Arabidopsis thaliana: one gene and its partner. The protein of the gene in region 1 purifies or fractionates together with the protein of each later gene. This does not show direct contact. Each region holds a gene or a part of one and is shown in the gene's direction. Other genes may lie near its edges.

What was found.
Region 2: the proteins of AT1G60420 (region 1) and PFD5 fractionate together in Arabidopsis thaliana (co-fractionation; one large-scale study listed by BioGRID). This does not show direct contact.

Annotation. Positions count from the first base shown.
Region 1 is NC_003070.9:22,257,542-22,267,143, forward strand, and holds AT1G60420 (DC1 domain-containing protein), read left to right. Parts: upstream 1-4,212; 5' UTR 4,213-4,436; coding exon 4,437-4,541; intron 4,542-4,836; coding exon 4,837-5,316; intron 5,317-5,460; coding exon 5,461-5,940; intron 5,941-6,030; coding exon 6,031-6,702; 3' UTR 6,703-6,867; downstream 6,868-9,602. Other genes in the region: AT1G60410 (F-box family protein), read left to right, coding at 1,588-2,487, 2,578-2,718, 2,806-2,985; ARPC3 (actin-related protein C3), read right to left, coding at 7,256-7,398, 7,488-7,757, 7,833-7,941, 8,139-8,141; PANK1 (pantothenate kinase 1), read right to left, coding at 9,112-9,337, 9,443-9,555. UniProt on the Arabidopsis thaliana protein: Probable thiol-disulfide oxidoreductase required for pollen tube growth and pollen function in the pistil. Seems not to be required for in vitro pollen tube growth. May be involved in the generation of lipid signaling molecules in pistil.
Region 2 is NC_003076.8:7,841,609-7,848,430, forward strand, and holds PFD5 (prefoldin 5), read left to right. Parts: upstream 1-4,472; 5' UTR 4,473-4,535; coding exon 4,536-4,719; intron 4,720-4,790; coding exon 4,791-4,894; intron 4,895-4,977; coding exon 4,978-5,055; intron 5,056-5,730; coding exon 5,731-5,820; 3' UTR 5,821-6,035; downstream 6,036-6,822. Other genes in the region: AT5G23280 (TCP family transcription factor), read left to right, coding at 1,409-2,161; PYRD (pyrimidine d), read right to left, coding at 6,184-6,258, 6,352-6,451, 6,541-6,578, 6,678-6,815. UniProt on the Arabidopsis thaliana protein: Binds specifically to cytosolic chaperonin (c-CPN) and transfers target proteins to it. Binds to nascent polypeptide chain and promotes folding in an environment in which there are many competing pathways for nonnative proteins.

The DNA of each region.
Region 1 (9,602 bases):
TGCATTAATGCAATTATCTTCGCTTTCTTCCTTTCTAAGACGAATTGCTTAGCTTCTCGTTATTGTCTTTGAGTTGTTTCTCTCTCTCTCTCTCTATTTTGCAGCAACGTGAGGCTGTGTCTTTCCATGAGCAAGTGGTGAATCAATTTTCTCAGAGGTTATGTGTTTGGAGAAGTTATATTCACAACATCTCCAAAAATATGTATTTAAGACCATTTCAGGGATATCAAATTGGTCAAAATTTAGAAAATTGAAACTTCAAGAAACTACATTTTAATATATATACTTTCTCTTTAACCACGTAACCATTTCCTATTCCCATTATTCTTATAAAAATCGTTCCACATTTCTGTATGTCCGTTAATGATTTTATGCAATCTAAAAAAAACTATACTATTTTATATTGTGAGTTGTTGTTTTATTCAATTACCAATAATGTACTATTTAGTTGTTTTTAAAAAATGGCTAAATATGTTAGGCACAAAATTAAAGATACCTTCTACTATCATATTTGCCAAACACATATTTCCTTTCCTTATCCTCTTTAAACCATTACTCAAACACACCTTATTTTGTTCTTATATATTTTGAATATCCAAATTTAGTTTTTTTCAAATATCTCTATTGATTATTACCATATATGATTTGTTGAAATTTATGTACATTTAATGCTTTGATTTTTTTAAATGCACTTTACATTTCTATATAAAACATTACATATATATATATATACATATATTAAAATGTAGTCATTTGAAATATTATACATAAAATTATTTATAAGATTGGAAAGCATAAAATTAAATATTATAAATGATCATTCATAAAATTAAATAGCATAAGATTTACCTAGACTAGCAGGCAATTTTACCTAGTTTTGGTTAAAACTTACAATGTATCTCTCTTTCATAAAAAGTGTAATTTTGACACATTTCACACATTAAAAATGAGTTAAACATACAAATATACCCTTATTTAATATACCCCTAATTATACCATAATGATTTAAATAGAAAATTTCTTTTAGCTTTAGACAAGAGGAAAATCTGAAAACTAGTTAAAATGTAAACGATATTATTTTGTGAATTGTGAAACGGATAGAATTGAACAAGAGTTGAGAAAAAAAAACGGATACAATTTGAGCTTTTATTCTTGAAAGACAAAGAGTTAACAAAAAAAAAATCAATCATGAGTATTTCAAGTATTCTTTTATATTAACAGTAAATTAAATACATATCATTATTTCGATTGACAATAAAGTTCATTAAATGTAATTAAAAAAAAATCACAACGTTTCGTTTTGTGGTCAATAAAATATTGAAGAAATTTGAAAGGGCGCTCACGACACGTTTCGTATAGCCTCTTTTTATTTTTCAACTTATTATAAAAACTGTCAAAGAGGAAGAAAATCTAGCGAGAAGATCTCTGGTCGTCAAATTGAAGGTTCTTCTTCTTCCTCTCTATCTCTACTAGGTAATCTCTAACCTAATCTCTGAACTCTCTTTCATACTTTGGATTATGTTTGATTAATTAATAATAAATTAATAGTGTAGCTTTGTCCGAAATATAGGGTTTCCGGGAGAAGTCATGGCTAGAACCGAAGTCTCAGGGAAAGATAGGTTAAGCGATTTACCGTGTCATTTGCTATGTCGCATCCTCTCTAATCTCTCTACCAAGGAATCGGTTCGTACTAGCGTTTTGTCCCCTCGTTGGAGTAATCTCTGGTCGCTTGTTTCTGTTTTGGATTTGGATTTCCAAGATTTTAAAGGTGAACACGACATGGGAGAATTCATAGATAGCTTTATGGAATATCACGAAGAGTTAGGCTTGAAGTTGAAGAGCTTCAATATGTTTTATGATGCTAATGAGCACTTGCATGAGCCATTTGTGAGGAGGCTAAATAAAGTGGTTAGGCGTGGAGTTTGTGATCTGAATATTCAGAATATGGTGGATGTTGATGTAGCATTAGTTAGGATGCCTCCCTCGCTTTATTCATGTGCTACTTTAGTGAATTTGATTCTCTACTGTGTTGTCTTTGATCATCCAAGATCAAAATCGGTTTCTTTACCTAGTGTGAAGAAAATGTATTTTGAGGGGGTCAAGTTTGATGGTGATTCTGTTCTGGAGACTCTCATATCGCATAGTCCGGTTCTTGAGGAGTTAACCGTGATTCCGCATCCGGAGGATTATTTGGAAGTCATATGTGTTCGTTCTCAATCACTGGAGAGCTTTAGACTTGAGTCTAAGCGTTTTGAGTGTGACAATCCCAAAGTTGAAATCGATTCTCCAAGCCTTGAGTTTATGAGTATCTGTGATAAGAAACCTGAAAGCCTTAAAATACATAGAATTGGTCCTTTTGCGGAGGTAACCGTTGATGTTGAGTTTGATGTTGAGGATGATGATCCATTGGAGATATCTAAGATACGTAAGTTTCTCGTCGGGTTATCCACATTTCACGAACTGACCATCTCTGCTCGAACTCTAGAGGTACACATATGATTGGTGGATTAAATATAACATTAAGCTTGTACAATTTTGTATATGGTGTTGACTTACTTTTTTTTTGGCTATACACAGTCCATCCATGACTACTCCAAGGTGGGACCATTGCCTCCATTCTCTAACTTGTTTGGCTTGGATGCTTCGTTAGTCGAATCTTCTTGGGAAGTTTTACCAGCCTTTCTTAGTTGCTGCATGAATCTAGATTCGCTCGTCATAGTGAGTTTCATTTATTTGTCTATATTTCACGTAGTTACATTGAGATTCATATCCCAAGAAAACTTATCAAAAGTTTTATGTTACTAGGAACTTGACTGTGTTCCAGAGATGGAGGAGATTAAACTCTCACCAGTGCCTCAATGTGTCTTATCCTCTCTCGACTTTCTTCAGTTGAAGGCACCATCGACACCAAGTAAAATGAAACTTGCGACATATTTTAGGAAGAAGTGTACACGCTTGACGAAAATGCTTTTAAGTGGGCAGTAACATCATCAAGAAAATGAAAAGGATTCCAAAGATATGCTGAAAGGTGTCAAGTTGTTATGTGTATAATGTCGTCTCTCCTAAATCAAGTTTACCTATCAACAGTTAATTATCAAATAATCTATTGTAAGACTTTTTAGATTTTCTTGTTAGACATGGCTTTATGTTTTCTAGTTTTTTTTTATGGATGTTCTTTAGTAAATTTCTATCTCTTAAAACAAAATTGAAATTCTATGTTGCAACTATATGTAGGATTGATTATAAATTTTTATATTCTTTCATTGATTCTTACTCGTAAACTATATTGCAATGAGTAAACTTAAAAGTGAAGTATCTTGGACTTCATCCATGTTGTTACGGGTTGGATTCAACGTCAAAGTTTCGTTGAAAGTTTGTTGCTATAGTTTTCTATATATATATCACATGCATTGTAATTAGGTTGCTATAGTGTACAATACATGTAAAATATACAAAACTATAGCAACAAAGTTTTAGATACTTAATTGCTTCCTTTAATCTCAAACCATTTGGTTGAATCTATCAAGTACACAGGACATATGCTCATTCAAATTGGGTAACTAAGAGCACCCCCAACGCTGGACTCTATGAAAATCCCTTAAAAACATACAAATAATAATATTTTAATCTTATTAGGGCTTCTGTATAATTTGACCAATAATAAAAACACATGTATATAATTTTCTCGAGACTGTCCCTTAAATAAAGAATTTTAGGGCCTCTCTCTCTTCTTACACTTACCTTTTAATTATTTTTCATTCTTTTTATCATTAGAAATTTTGTTAAGGGACCACCGTTGGTGGTCCTCTAATCACGCATGGAGTCTAGACGAAATAAGAAACGCATTAATAAGACATATATTATTTTTTGGTGAAAGTATAATGTAGACAAAAAAAAAAGATAAAGCTTTTGTTTTCTTAGACATAACCCAAAGAACATACCATATATATAGCAGAATTAGATTAAAAACAGTCAGATCAGAAAACAAAACAATCTGAATAGCTAATTGCACAAAAAGCTAGGGTTTTGTTAAGGATTTTCCGAGTTTAATACCGGGAACTGATCCTCGTGAATTGTCGAGATAGCGCTTAATGTTTTGTAAATATTTAATATTAACCCCAAATATTCGATTTTGACCAATTTATACCCCATCGAGATATTTCTACTGCTGACTTTTTAGTGTTTTGTATTTGACCTCGTTTGATGGACGAACCGGAATATAATTGTGTTGGTTGGTCAACCATTTGTTTTTAGCATTTTCTGGTCTTTAATTAATCGCTAAGTAATCTAATTCTGGATTAAGAAGAAAAAAAAACTTCAAAAGAGACGCTTTTATACAACGCTTTGAGCATTACTTGGCCCTCTCAAAAGAATACACAGACCAGTCTTCGTGTGCTCGTAATTGGCGATTCTCAAATTCGATCTCCGTACAAACAATGGCCGAAACCTCGAAGCAAGTCAACGGCGACGATGCCCAGGATCTTCACTCGCTTCTTTCTTCTCCGGCGAGGGATTTCCTCGTTCGTAATGACGGCGAACAGGTAAAATAGTTTTTGACGTGATTTTGAGTTTATGGTCTTCGATCGCAACTTCTTCTGATCTTCGATAACGATCCTGTGATTGTCTCGCGATTCTTTGAACCGACTCTTCTGGTTTACAGAATATAGATAGCTTCGTGTAGTTGATTGATTTGCTATAGATGACTTTAATCGATTGCTTTCAAGTGTTAAGATTCATTCAGTGCTTGGTCCTTTATTGATTTGGCTTGTGTCTATTTCACATGGCTTATGTTGTTTGGGTAGAGTTTAATTTTTTATGCATTTTTATGATGTTTAGGTGAAAGTTGACAGCTTGTTAGGGAAGAAGATTGGATTGTATTTTTCAGCTGCTTGGTGTGGACCGTGTCAGCGGTTTACTCCACAGCTGGTGGAAGTCTACAACGAGCTCTCTTCGAAAGTTGGTTTTGAGATTGTGTTTGTGTCAGGTGATGAGGATGAAGAGTCATTTGGAGATTATTTCAGAAAGATGCCCTGGCTCGCTGTTCCGTTTACTGATTCGGAAACCCGTGACCGTTTGGATGAGTTGTTTAAGGTTAGGGGAATACCTAACCTAGTGATGGTTGATGATCATGGTAAACTTGTGAATGAGAATGGTGTTGGGGTCATACGAAGCTATGGAGCTGATGCTTATCCTTTCACACCAGAGAAAATGAAGGAGATCAAAGAGGATGAAGATAGAGCTCGGAGAGGACAGACCTTAAGATCTGTCTTGGTGACTCCTTCACGAGACTTTGTGATTTCGCCTGACGGAAACAAGGTGCACATTAATAGCTTGTGAGATCAGATTCTTTTTCGTCAATAGGAAGATTATATCTATACAAGACTCTTGCATTAGTTAGTTATTACGGACCTGTTTCTCTTTTGTTGACTTAATGAGACCGATCAATTGCATATTCATTAGGTACCCGTATCAGAGCTTGAGGGAAAAACCATTGGCCTTCTCTTCTCTGTGGCCTCTTACAGGAAATGCACAGAGCTTACTCCAAAGCTTGTTGAGTTTTATACGAAGCTGAAGGAGAATAAGGAGGATTTTGAGATTGTGTTGATATCTCTTGAAGATGATGAGGAGTCTTTTAATCAAGACTTCAAGACCAAGCCATGGCTAGCATTGCCGTTCAACGACAAAAGTGGATCAAAATTGGCTCGGCATTTCATGCTGTCAACACTACCGACACTGGTCATTCTCGGCCCTGATGGAAAAACCCGTCACTCGAATGTCGCTGAAGCTATTGATGACTATGGAGTTCTTGCGTATCCTTTCACTCCAGAGAAGTTTCAAGAACTCAAGGAGCTAGAAAAGGCAAAGGTAGAGGCTCAAACGCTCGAGTCACTTCTTGTCTCAGGTGATCTCAACTACGTTCTCGGAAAAGATGGGGCAAAGGTATAGCTCTCGATACCCTCTTCATTTTCTAAACACTGTTCTTCAAGGCTGATCTGAACCAACCTGTAAAAATTTGGCTTTCTTTGTTAGGTGCTTGTTTCGGATCTGGTGGGGAAGACTATTCTTATGTACTTCTCAGCTCACTGGTGTCCTCCTTGTCGCGCTTTTACACCAAAGCTTGTTGAAGTATACAAGCAGATAAAGGAGCGGAATGAAGCGTTTGAATTGATCTTCATCTCCAGTGACCGTGACCAGGAATCATTCGATGAGTACTATTCGCAAATGCCGTGGCTGGCTCTTCCATTTGGTGATCCTAGGAAAGCATCCTTGGCAAAAACCTTTAAGGTTGGTGGGATCCCAATGCTAGCAGCTCTGGGACCAACTGGGCAAACCGTAACAAAAGAAGCAAGGGACCTTGTCGTAGCCCATGGAGCCGATGCTTACCCTTTTACTGAGGAACGTTTGAAGGAGATTGAAGCTAAGTACGATGAGATAGCAAAAGATTGGCCTAAGAAGGTGAAACATGTTCTCCATGAAGAACATGAGCTAGAACTAACTCGTGTTCAGGTTTACACATGCGATAAGTGTGAGGAAGAAGGGACAATATGGTCTTACCATTGCGACGAATGCGACTTTGATCTTCACGCCAAGTGTGCTTTAAACGAGGACACAAAAGAAAACGGCGATGAGGCTGTGAAAGTTGGTGGCGACGAGTCCAAAGATGGTTGGGTTTGTGAAGGAAACGTATGCACCAAGGCCTGATAGGTAGCTTCAGGCACAGTTATGTCACTATGTGTATGCAAAGCTATTTCCTTTCTTTGTATAATTGCTAAGAGTGAGAATGTGTGGTTACAATCTGATATCTGATTAAGACCTTGGAGATAAACTCTGTTAATCTAAAGTAATAATAAAAGAATCTTCTTATTTAACTTTGATCTTGTATCAACAAATTTTATATTCCAACAGGAGTTGTATGAAACAATACATTGGCACACTCTATGTATATATCAAGAGATACAGAGAGAGAGCATTCTGCTCTCAGATGAAATTTTCGTCTTCCTGGTTCCAGTGGCTAACACCTATGCAGAGGAAGCTAAAGGTGGCGATTCTCATGATCTCCAGTGGCTTTGGATTCCCTCATTCGTAATGGGCAGCAAGCAAGGAAGAATAACCAGCTGCTAAATTATGAAAAAATCAGATCAAAAGAAAAACATTTTAAGCTTGAAATGTAGAACTGTTTGAGATGGATCTAAGATCACGTGGGATTTTGGATCCAGTAAACTAAAGTGATACTTACCAGTGATTCTCTGTTTTATCATAGGACGACCACGTTCATGAATTTCCTCTTGGCGAATGCAAGCCACCATTTATTTGGTGTCCCGTTGGCTCTATATGCTACACTCAGTAACCTCCCACTTGTCTCCTCTCGAACCTGCTTAAGATAGTTCCTGAAAAGCTCTGACATTTGAAGCCAAACAGAACACAAGGCTAAGGACCAAGTAACTGAAAGAAAAATCAATAAGAGTTGTTTAGACATGTATATATACCTGCTTCGTCCTGGGACTGCGGAAGCGAAAAGAGACCTGGGAAAGGAAAGCCAGTTTCTCCAGGAACAGGAATATCTTCTAAACCCAAGTTGATAATCGCTTTAGTTCCAACAGCCAATGTTCTACAGCCTTCAAGCCTCTTTAACGCCACATTTATATAAAACGTCAAGTAAATAAGGAGCTTATCAGCAGGACTTTTGATATCAAAGTTTGTGAAGAAGACATTAGCACGAAAGAAGGTGATTGCCTCGTCTACTATATCAGTTTTATCTGCATATAAAACCAACAATTTACAAAAGCTTTCGATCGCACAATTGAAAAAAATCACATGTTTTGATTAATTACCTTGTTCTGAAACAGGTGCAGGACCTTTTATATGACTCTTGAGAGGAAGCAATGGACAACCACATGCCTTTGTTACTCCTTCTTCATCCACAAAACTCGAGTGATAAACCTGATCAGAGCATTTAATCACAAGGATTAAGGAAACAAAATGAGCATCGCAGAGTTAAATACTCCATGGAACCAAATCAAAGTGAAACAAGCTCAATAAATAAAAAAAATCTCATCGAAGATCTAATCTAATTTCATTAGTTACAAAATGAAATGCGATTAATGCTAATTGAAAGATAAGAAAATGGTGATCCGTACCATTTTGTGCCGAATTTGAACAATGAAGCGATATCAGGAAGGAGAAGAATCGAATCGAAGGTAGATCTGCTGCAATTAAGATCTTGGATATATAAGAATCAGAATTTAGGTGAACGATTGATTCTATAGATGAAGAAAGAAAAAGTTTTTACCTAAACGAGATCAGATCAATTTCAACTTCTTTAGCGTCTACGAAAGAGGAAAGACTGCGTAAAGTTCACACGGTGAAGAATCCTTCGTGATGTTGCGGCGGTCGGAGATTGTCTTATTGGGAAGCTTAATCGCCGGCTGAAGAAGAAATTGAAATGGAAAATCGACGAAGTAGGAAAAAGGAATGAAGAACAGAAGAAGAAGAAGACAGAGAGGTATGGATGACACGTGTAAGACTCCATGAATGTGGTACATTGCTTCGTACCGGGAGTAACCAATGTTAAATCCGGCTTAGCTTTGATTTTTGAGTTTCTCGGTTTTTTTATTTGAAATTTGGTTTCTTATCGACCACTGGAATTAGGTACATCAAAAACCAAATAATGATGTGGTTCATTCTTCGGTTCAGTTTCGGGTTACATCAAAGTGGTTTGACCGGATTAAACATTGATCTTCAATCAACAACAACAACAAAATGTCCATATAAGTGTCAAGTTTCTGTTATTTCTGCTGAATGGATAAAAACTTGTTACATAAGCAATATACAAAACTTAGTAAACAAAGGCTAAACAGAAATGCACAAATACTTGCAATGCACCGGACTAAACCGAGATTTAAAGAAGCTCTAGTGAGATTTAATAAGTGTGTTTGATTCTTTGTGTGATATATAGTACAAGTTACATTGGTCATACATGAATATTAATACGTGAATCATCTTACATAAATGTGTCTAACATTCAACAAACTAGTAATGAGCAGCTCTTGACTCAAACAGTTGATTAAACATATTTCTACACTGAATTGATAATAATACAACTGGTGATAACTAAACTAAATTGATGCTACATTCTATGGTCTCGCTTTCGTTTAAATTTGAAGTTACTGGGATGTGCCGAAAGTTATGACCTGAACAGTTGAGAATTGCTCTTTGCACAGTGTGATGATGCGGTTTTAAATCGTTATGGCTCTGGTCATTGTAGCTCGTGAAAGCGCCTAATGCTCCAAGAAACCCTTCATGTCGTAAAAACATTGCCTTTGCCTCACCTCTCGACCTGAAATGAGAAGGAAAAATGAGAAAGTTCGATAAAGATTTTGTGGACATACATGAGTTTAAGATATGGAGGGATTTGATTAAGTAGTTTCGGTTTTGGATTTACCAAAAGTGAACAGCAACGGAGATTGTGTCCATGGTGTACTCAAGCCCACGGATGAAAAATCCACCAAAGAAAATACGCTTAAGACCGAATCTGAGAGCATTCAAATAAGCAATCTGGAGGGAGAGTAGAAAACGTTACAATTCGATCAGAATATCATCAG
Region 2 (6,822 bases), on another chromosome or scaffold:
AAGTTCAAGGTACACAATCTTTTTATAAAACTGCCGACATGATGCCATATCGCTCATGATTGCATTTATTTTTTTGCATTAGCTCACAAGAATGTTAAAAATTAACGATAAGAAAATCCATTTAATTAGGGGGTACGAGTACGAAAATAATTAAAACAAATATTAGCGTTTGGTGGTGCATAACTCAGCATAAGTCATAAAATAAATTGTTGTCACGATATGTGAAGAAAATCTCGTTGCGATGAGACGAACGACATAAAGAAAATCTTGCGTATCTGACAAGTGGACTAATCCACTTATTTTCAATGTCAGTCTCAAAATGGGAGTTATTAAAATTAATGTTCGTTCTTTTTATTTTATACACACATTTATTTTATATATATATTTATATTATATACAGTAAAACCTCTATAAATTAATAACATTAAAACCATAATATTTTTAATTTATAGTACTATTAATTTAAATGTCTTTGGGTATTTTAGTTGGCAAAACTCAACTAATTACAGGTAACTTTCTTTTGTGATGTCGACAAAAGAATTCTGAATAATTTTTAAGGGTTTCGATTTTTGCCATTTCACGTAAAACACGTGATACTGGGCTACTGGCATTTACGGCAGAGTAACTGGTGGCAAATATTATTACCAATATACTATAAACAAATAAATAAAAAGAACAAACACTAGTATTAAATTTTGATTGTTTTATAACTCAATTAAGTTTTGATGTCAAAGTCTACTTACCAATCAATTACCTCACTGATTTGTCTCCTTTTCAATCTTTTCGATTGTTTTATGGAAACAGCTTTCTAAAAAAGATTAATTTTCACGTAATCACAAAACAAATGTTCACATTAGCCCAAATCTAATAACCACATTAGGTTGGTCCCAAAAATTTAAAAACAAAAAAAAACTTTTTTAGACAGAGAGACCAACTTCAATACATTTAGTTTCATGTATTTTAAATAAGATTAGTATCTTCGTGTTAATTTCCAAATTCAAGCTTATAGTAAGTTAGTAATAATGTATATAATGACGTGGCAAAGGATAAATGTCTCTTTAAATGCACGTAGCAGCCGGAGGAGTGACCCACCTACCTAGTGTTAAATTCTCCTGCCGGAGTTTGGTCCCCACGCGACCTTCTTCTTCACCGGAGTAATAACGCGCGTGAGCTCCACCGCGTCGGGACAAAACTAATGTCCTCTCAAAAAAGCAAAAAAAAAAAGAGAAAAAAAACCAGAGATGGTGAGCTGTGTGAAAAGGACCCCACCACACCCATGTGCTTCTCCTTCCTGTCTCCACCAGCTCCCTCCTTCTCAATCATTAGCTTCTTCTCTTCTCTTCTCTCACAGAGAGAGTAATCACAAGCCAAGTGAGAAAAAGAAAACACTAAACCCAGATCGAAAACCATGTCTATTAACAACAACAACAACAACAACAACAATAACAACGATGGTCTTATGATCTCATCAAACGGAGCTTTAATCGAACAACAACCATCAGTCGTTGTGAAGAAACCACCGGCGAAAGATCGACATAGCAAAGTCGATGGAAGAGGGAGAAGAATCCGTATGCCGATTATATGTGCTGCTCGTGTTTTTCAGCTAACGAGAGAGCTTGGTCATAAGTCAGATGGCCAAACAATTGAATGGTTACTTCGTCAAGCAGAGCCTTCTATTATAGCTGCAACAGGAACTGGTACAACTCCAGCGAGTTTCTCAACTGCTTCTGTCTCTATCCGTGGAGCCACCAATTCTACTTCTTTAGATCATAAACCCACTTCTTTACTTGGTGGTACGTCACCGTTTATACTTGGGAAACGTGTTAGAGCTGATGAGGATAGTAATAATAGTCATAATCATAGTTCTGTTGGTAAAGATGAGACCTTTACGACAACACCAGCTGGGTTTTGGGCTGTTCCGGCGAGGCCGGATTTTGGACAAGTTTGGAGTTTTGCTGGAGCTCCACAAGAGATGTTTTTACAACAACAACATCATCATCAGCAACCATTGTTTGTTCATCAGCAACAGCAACAACAAGCTGCAATGGGTGAAGCTTCTGCTGCTAGAGTTGGGAATTATCTTCCGGGTCATCTTAATTTGCTTGCTTCTTTATCCGGTGGATCTCCCGGGTCGGATCGAAGAGAGGAAGATCCACGTTAATGGTTTAAGCCCTTTTAGGTTTGAGGGCAAAATTTGGTATATATATTTATTATCTTCTCTTCTCTATTGTTGTCATTGTTTCTCTATGTGTGTGTTTTAGTGTTGTTAGAGATTGATTTGGTTTCAGAATCTCTGCAAGTGATTTGAGAGTTTTCGTTAGCTTTAAGTAAGTTAAAGACGGTTGTTTTTGATTAGGGTTAAATTAGGGTTTAAGAATCTGTTGTTTTTTTGGAGGGAGATCGATTTCTTATCGGATCCAAGATTACTTTTAGGAAAAAAGGGAAAATTTCAGAAACCACGGTGGTTTCTTTTCCTCTTTTTTTTTTTGTGTCTGTTTTTTTTTTCCGGTGAAACAGAGCCGTCGATTAAAATTTCAGATATATATTTAAATGTTTTAATATGGTTTGTTGTTGTTGTTGCTAATTGTGTAATGTGTTACAACAATTGTGGTGAAGCATTTGCGTAAGCTGTTAACCACGTTTATTTCTAATAAATGTTTCGAATTCATATTGTTCCTTCCTTCTCTGCATTTATTGATACACAAAAAGCTTTATGTGATAGTGATTGTTTCGTTGAAATCGAACCGGATGATGGATTTTTGAACAGAATCATAATAATCTCTTATTTTTTTAGTGGATATATGTATGAATTGTGGATTTTGAGATGCTATTTATTTTTGGCGTTTCGCGTCTTGATTTAATGCAAGAACTGAACAGAGGATTTAGTAAGAAAAAGAGACAAACCAGTTGTGTCTGAATTCTTCAATTTTGTTGCCTTTTTGTTTCATATGAATCTTTGTACTGTGCTTTTGGAAGTTTGGTTTGTCACGTTAGTCAGAGAAATATTAAATTTAAGTACTGTTAAAACTATATGGCGACATGATATCTTTAAATTAATTGTCTATATTTTTGTTCTAGAAACTGTTACAATTTGAAAGATTAAAGGTGTTAGAATTGTCTCTTCTCTTGTTTGAGATTAGCTATCTAAAAAAATGTGGGTGATACACTCGAACATGAGTTCAAATGGTTGTTTTAATTTTGGCAAAAACCATTTTCACTGTTGTAATAATTTGGACTATCAAAAAAGTAAATTTTATTTTAACCCCTGATATAGTATAATTTCTTATGCAAAGTATATTTAAGGTACAAATAGCATAGATTCAATGATTTCGTTTGTGGTTTTCACAGCTATATATCTGCTGAGTAATGTATTTAACCAATAATTTATTTATCACGATAATACCTGATGAATAAATGTCAAAGTGATTAGATAGGCTTCTTTAGACTATTTAGGTCACACTAACCAATCAAAAGAATCAAACAAATTTTCTCATTAAAATAAGAATCCATTAATGGAAAGATCTTAACAAAAAGTTGGTGTTTTTTCTTTCTTAATTAGGTCTTAGTAATTAACACTTAGCTATATAATGTAATGCAAATAATTATAGGTGGGGGATCTTTGTAATCAACTCGTATCAATAAAACATCCGTACCTTTTATTGTCGAATCATCTAAATGACCCCAACACCAATAATTGATATGGTCCCAATTATTTTCTACCGAAAAATAATTTCTATAGGCTGGCAAATAATTCATATACGAGTCTTTATTTTTCATATACATATTTCGCATTTTGGACCGACACATGTAAATAAATAAATAGCCTCTCATTCACCTCACTCTACTAGCTCTGTGCCGTGTTAAATTAAATGTACTGTCAAATACTTTATGGTTCAGAAAAAATTGATGACTAAACATTATCATAGAGTATCAAAATTTGATTTTCAAAACTGACTATAAAAACAATTTTATAGCAAAAATAAAATAAATTTTAGTTGTTTCTTTTAAACGTTAAAGCATGTTCATTTTTTCCTAGTTGCAGATTCTACAGTGATCAATTTGGGATCTATATTAATTCTATATAAGACCCAAAACATGTAAGAATATTAATTTTATGTGTTATTTGTTTAGTTACAAATGTAAAAATACGCAACTAATTAACTATTTCATTTGGTTACATTTTTTTATAAGTATGACAAAATATAAGCAAATTAAGTATTGTTTGAATTATAAGCAAATATTTTTTTGTTTCAAATTTTTTCAAAATATAGGTAAACTATTAAAAATTGTTTTTTGATTCAATTTTGTTTTAATTTTTATTTGAATCAAAGCATACACTATTTTCTTCTTTAATCATTTAAGGCCTCGAAAATGTTAGAAACAGCTTAAATGGGCCAATATGGGCCTTATGACTTCATCTCTAACGCTGAAGTCTGAACTCCGCTTAACGGGCCATCACACACTTCGTCTCTAACCTTTTGAAGAAAGAGTTTGAGCGCATCGCAAACTCGAAGGCGCGACTGTGAGAGAGAAGAATGGCGTCGTCATCATCGAGAGGAGAGATGGAGAAGATGGGAATCGATCAGCTAAAAGCTTTGAAGGAGCAAGCAGATCTGGAAGTGAATCTTCTTCAAGATAGTCTCAACAACATCCGTACAGCTACCGTTCGTCTCGATGCCGCCGCCGCAGCTCTCAACGATCTCTCTCTTCGACCTCAAGGTTTTGTTTATTTCACCTCTCCTTCTTCAATTTCAGCGATGGATGATTATAAAACAATTTGAAAATTGTAGGTAAGAAGATGCTTGTACCACTGACTGCTTCTCTATACGTGCCTGGGACACTTGATGAAGCTGATAAGGTTTTAGTTGATATTGGCACTGGTTACTTCATTGAGGTAATAGAAAACTTCAATAAGTAATTGGATTATTATGACTTTGTTCTTGTGTAGCTCAAGTGTTTTGCTGCATTTTTATGTAGAAAACAATGGATGATGGAAAAGATTATTGTCAGAGGAAGATCAACTTGCTCAAATCCAACTTTGATCAACTTTTTGAGGTAATATGTATTCGCAATTAGGATCATTTCACTATCTTAGCAACTTTTAAAGGCCTGATTTGGTTTTTAGATAGATTCTGAGTGAAAGGGAATATGTATTCGAATGCCAGTGAGTATGCCTTAGAACTGTACTTTTAGGTATTGAAGGCCTACACTTTTCCTTCATACGGCTTATTGAATATGCCTTAGAACTGTCCTTTTACTGAAGGATAACACATTTCTCATAACATTTACGAAAATTGTGAATGAGCAAAGTGGATAAGATTTTTTGAATTGAATGGAGTCTGATTCTGTTACTAGGGGTGAATCTTTGTGGACTTCTTTCACTGACTTGATCCATTGTATAAAAATGTTTGAGGCCTTAAAGTTTTATGGAATGCAAGTACGTAGTCAGAAAGCCCTTTGGTTGATCCTTTCCTGCATTGTCAAACACTCCCTAGTCCCTAGAGCCATACATGATACACTAAGTAGAGGTCTGAGTATTGTTTTCGTATAAAGCAAAATTCAATGCTATGATCTCACGTTTCCTTTCCATTTGCTTCAATAGTTATTGAAATCAAGTGCATCATTGCCAAATTGTTTCAATACTCTTTTATTTTGAAAACCCTATTGTTACTGCTGTTTATCTCACCTGAGATTTTAGTTATAAACTTCAAAAATGTTCATTCAATGCAGGTCGCAGCGAAAAAGAAAAGCGTGGCAGATGAAGCTGGAATGGTCTTGCAGGCCAAAGTTAAACAGTTAACAGCTGCAACCACGTCGTGAAAATTATTCCTTCTCTAGTGCTTTTTGCTATTGAGACTATTTTGAGATTGCAAATGATTTTGTCTGATCAGTTATGTTTTGACTCTTTTGATCTCAATCGGCTTGTGTTTAGTGTGCTAGAAGAATTTGTGCTGTAATTTTAAGTAATCAGTAGTGACTATGAGAAAGAAAAGACGTGTTAACTAGTTATTTCTCATAAAACGTGAGAAAAGAGACAAAAGCGATGATGTTATTGGAGGCAAAAACGATGATGTTATTGTTGGGGGTAGAAAGAGACAACTGAATCAATGAACTTTAAATACAACTTGTTTTGTTGTTTTAAGAAAAGGGATCTTTCCGCAGCGTATTGCTCTTTGAGTTTTATCATCTGTGATCAGCACCAATTGCTTCATGGATCGACTTGAAGCCATCCCTTTCTAAGCATTTCACCAGTTCCTCCTATTGCAACAACAAGACATGAATATTAGTATCAATCTGACCTCAAAATACAGCATATGTATGTTTTTGTGTTCTTTATGGGGAAGGAGATACCTTTATTTGTGGGATGAGGGCAGGTCCTCCATAGGCAAATCCCGTGTACAGCTGAACAAGAGTAGCTCCAGCTCTTATTTTCTTGTAAGCATCCTCACCACTAAAAACACAAAAGATTCACCTTAAATCATTTTCTTGTGTTTCTTTTGTTCTTACAACTAAAGCATCAGAGGTATGTTCGACGTTTACCTACTAACCCCGCCACAGCCTATCAATGGAATCTTTCCCTAAGGAAGAGAACATGAAAATATCCAAAAACCCATCAGAAAAGGTTTTAGTTCATTGGTCGATTAGTGGATCATCTTTTTTTTAGGATAAGAACTTACTCGTGTCAAAGTGTACATATCTCTCAACATGTTGGTGGAGAGAGCAAAGAGCGGTTTCCCGCTCAAACCACCTGTTTCTGTTGCCACGGGGTTGTTGCTTACAGCATCAGGCCTTGAGACTGTTGTATTTGATATGATCTATAGG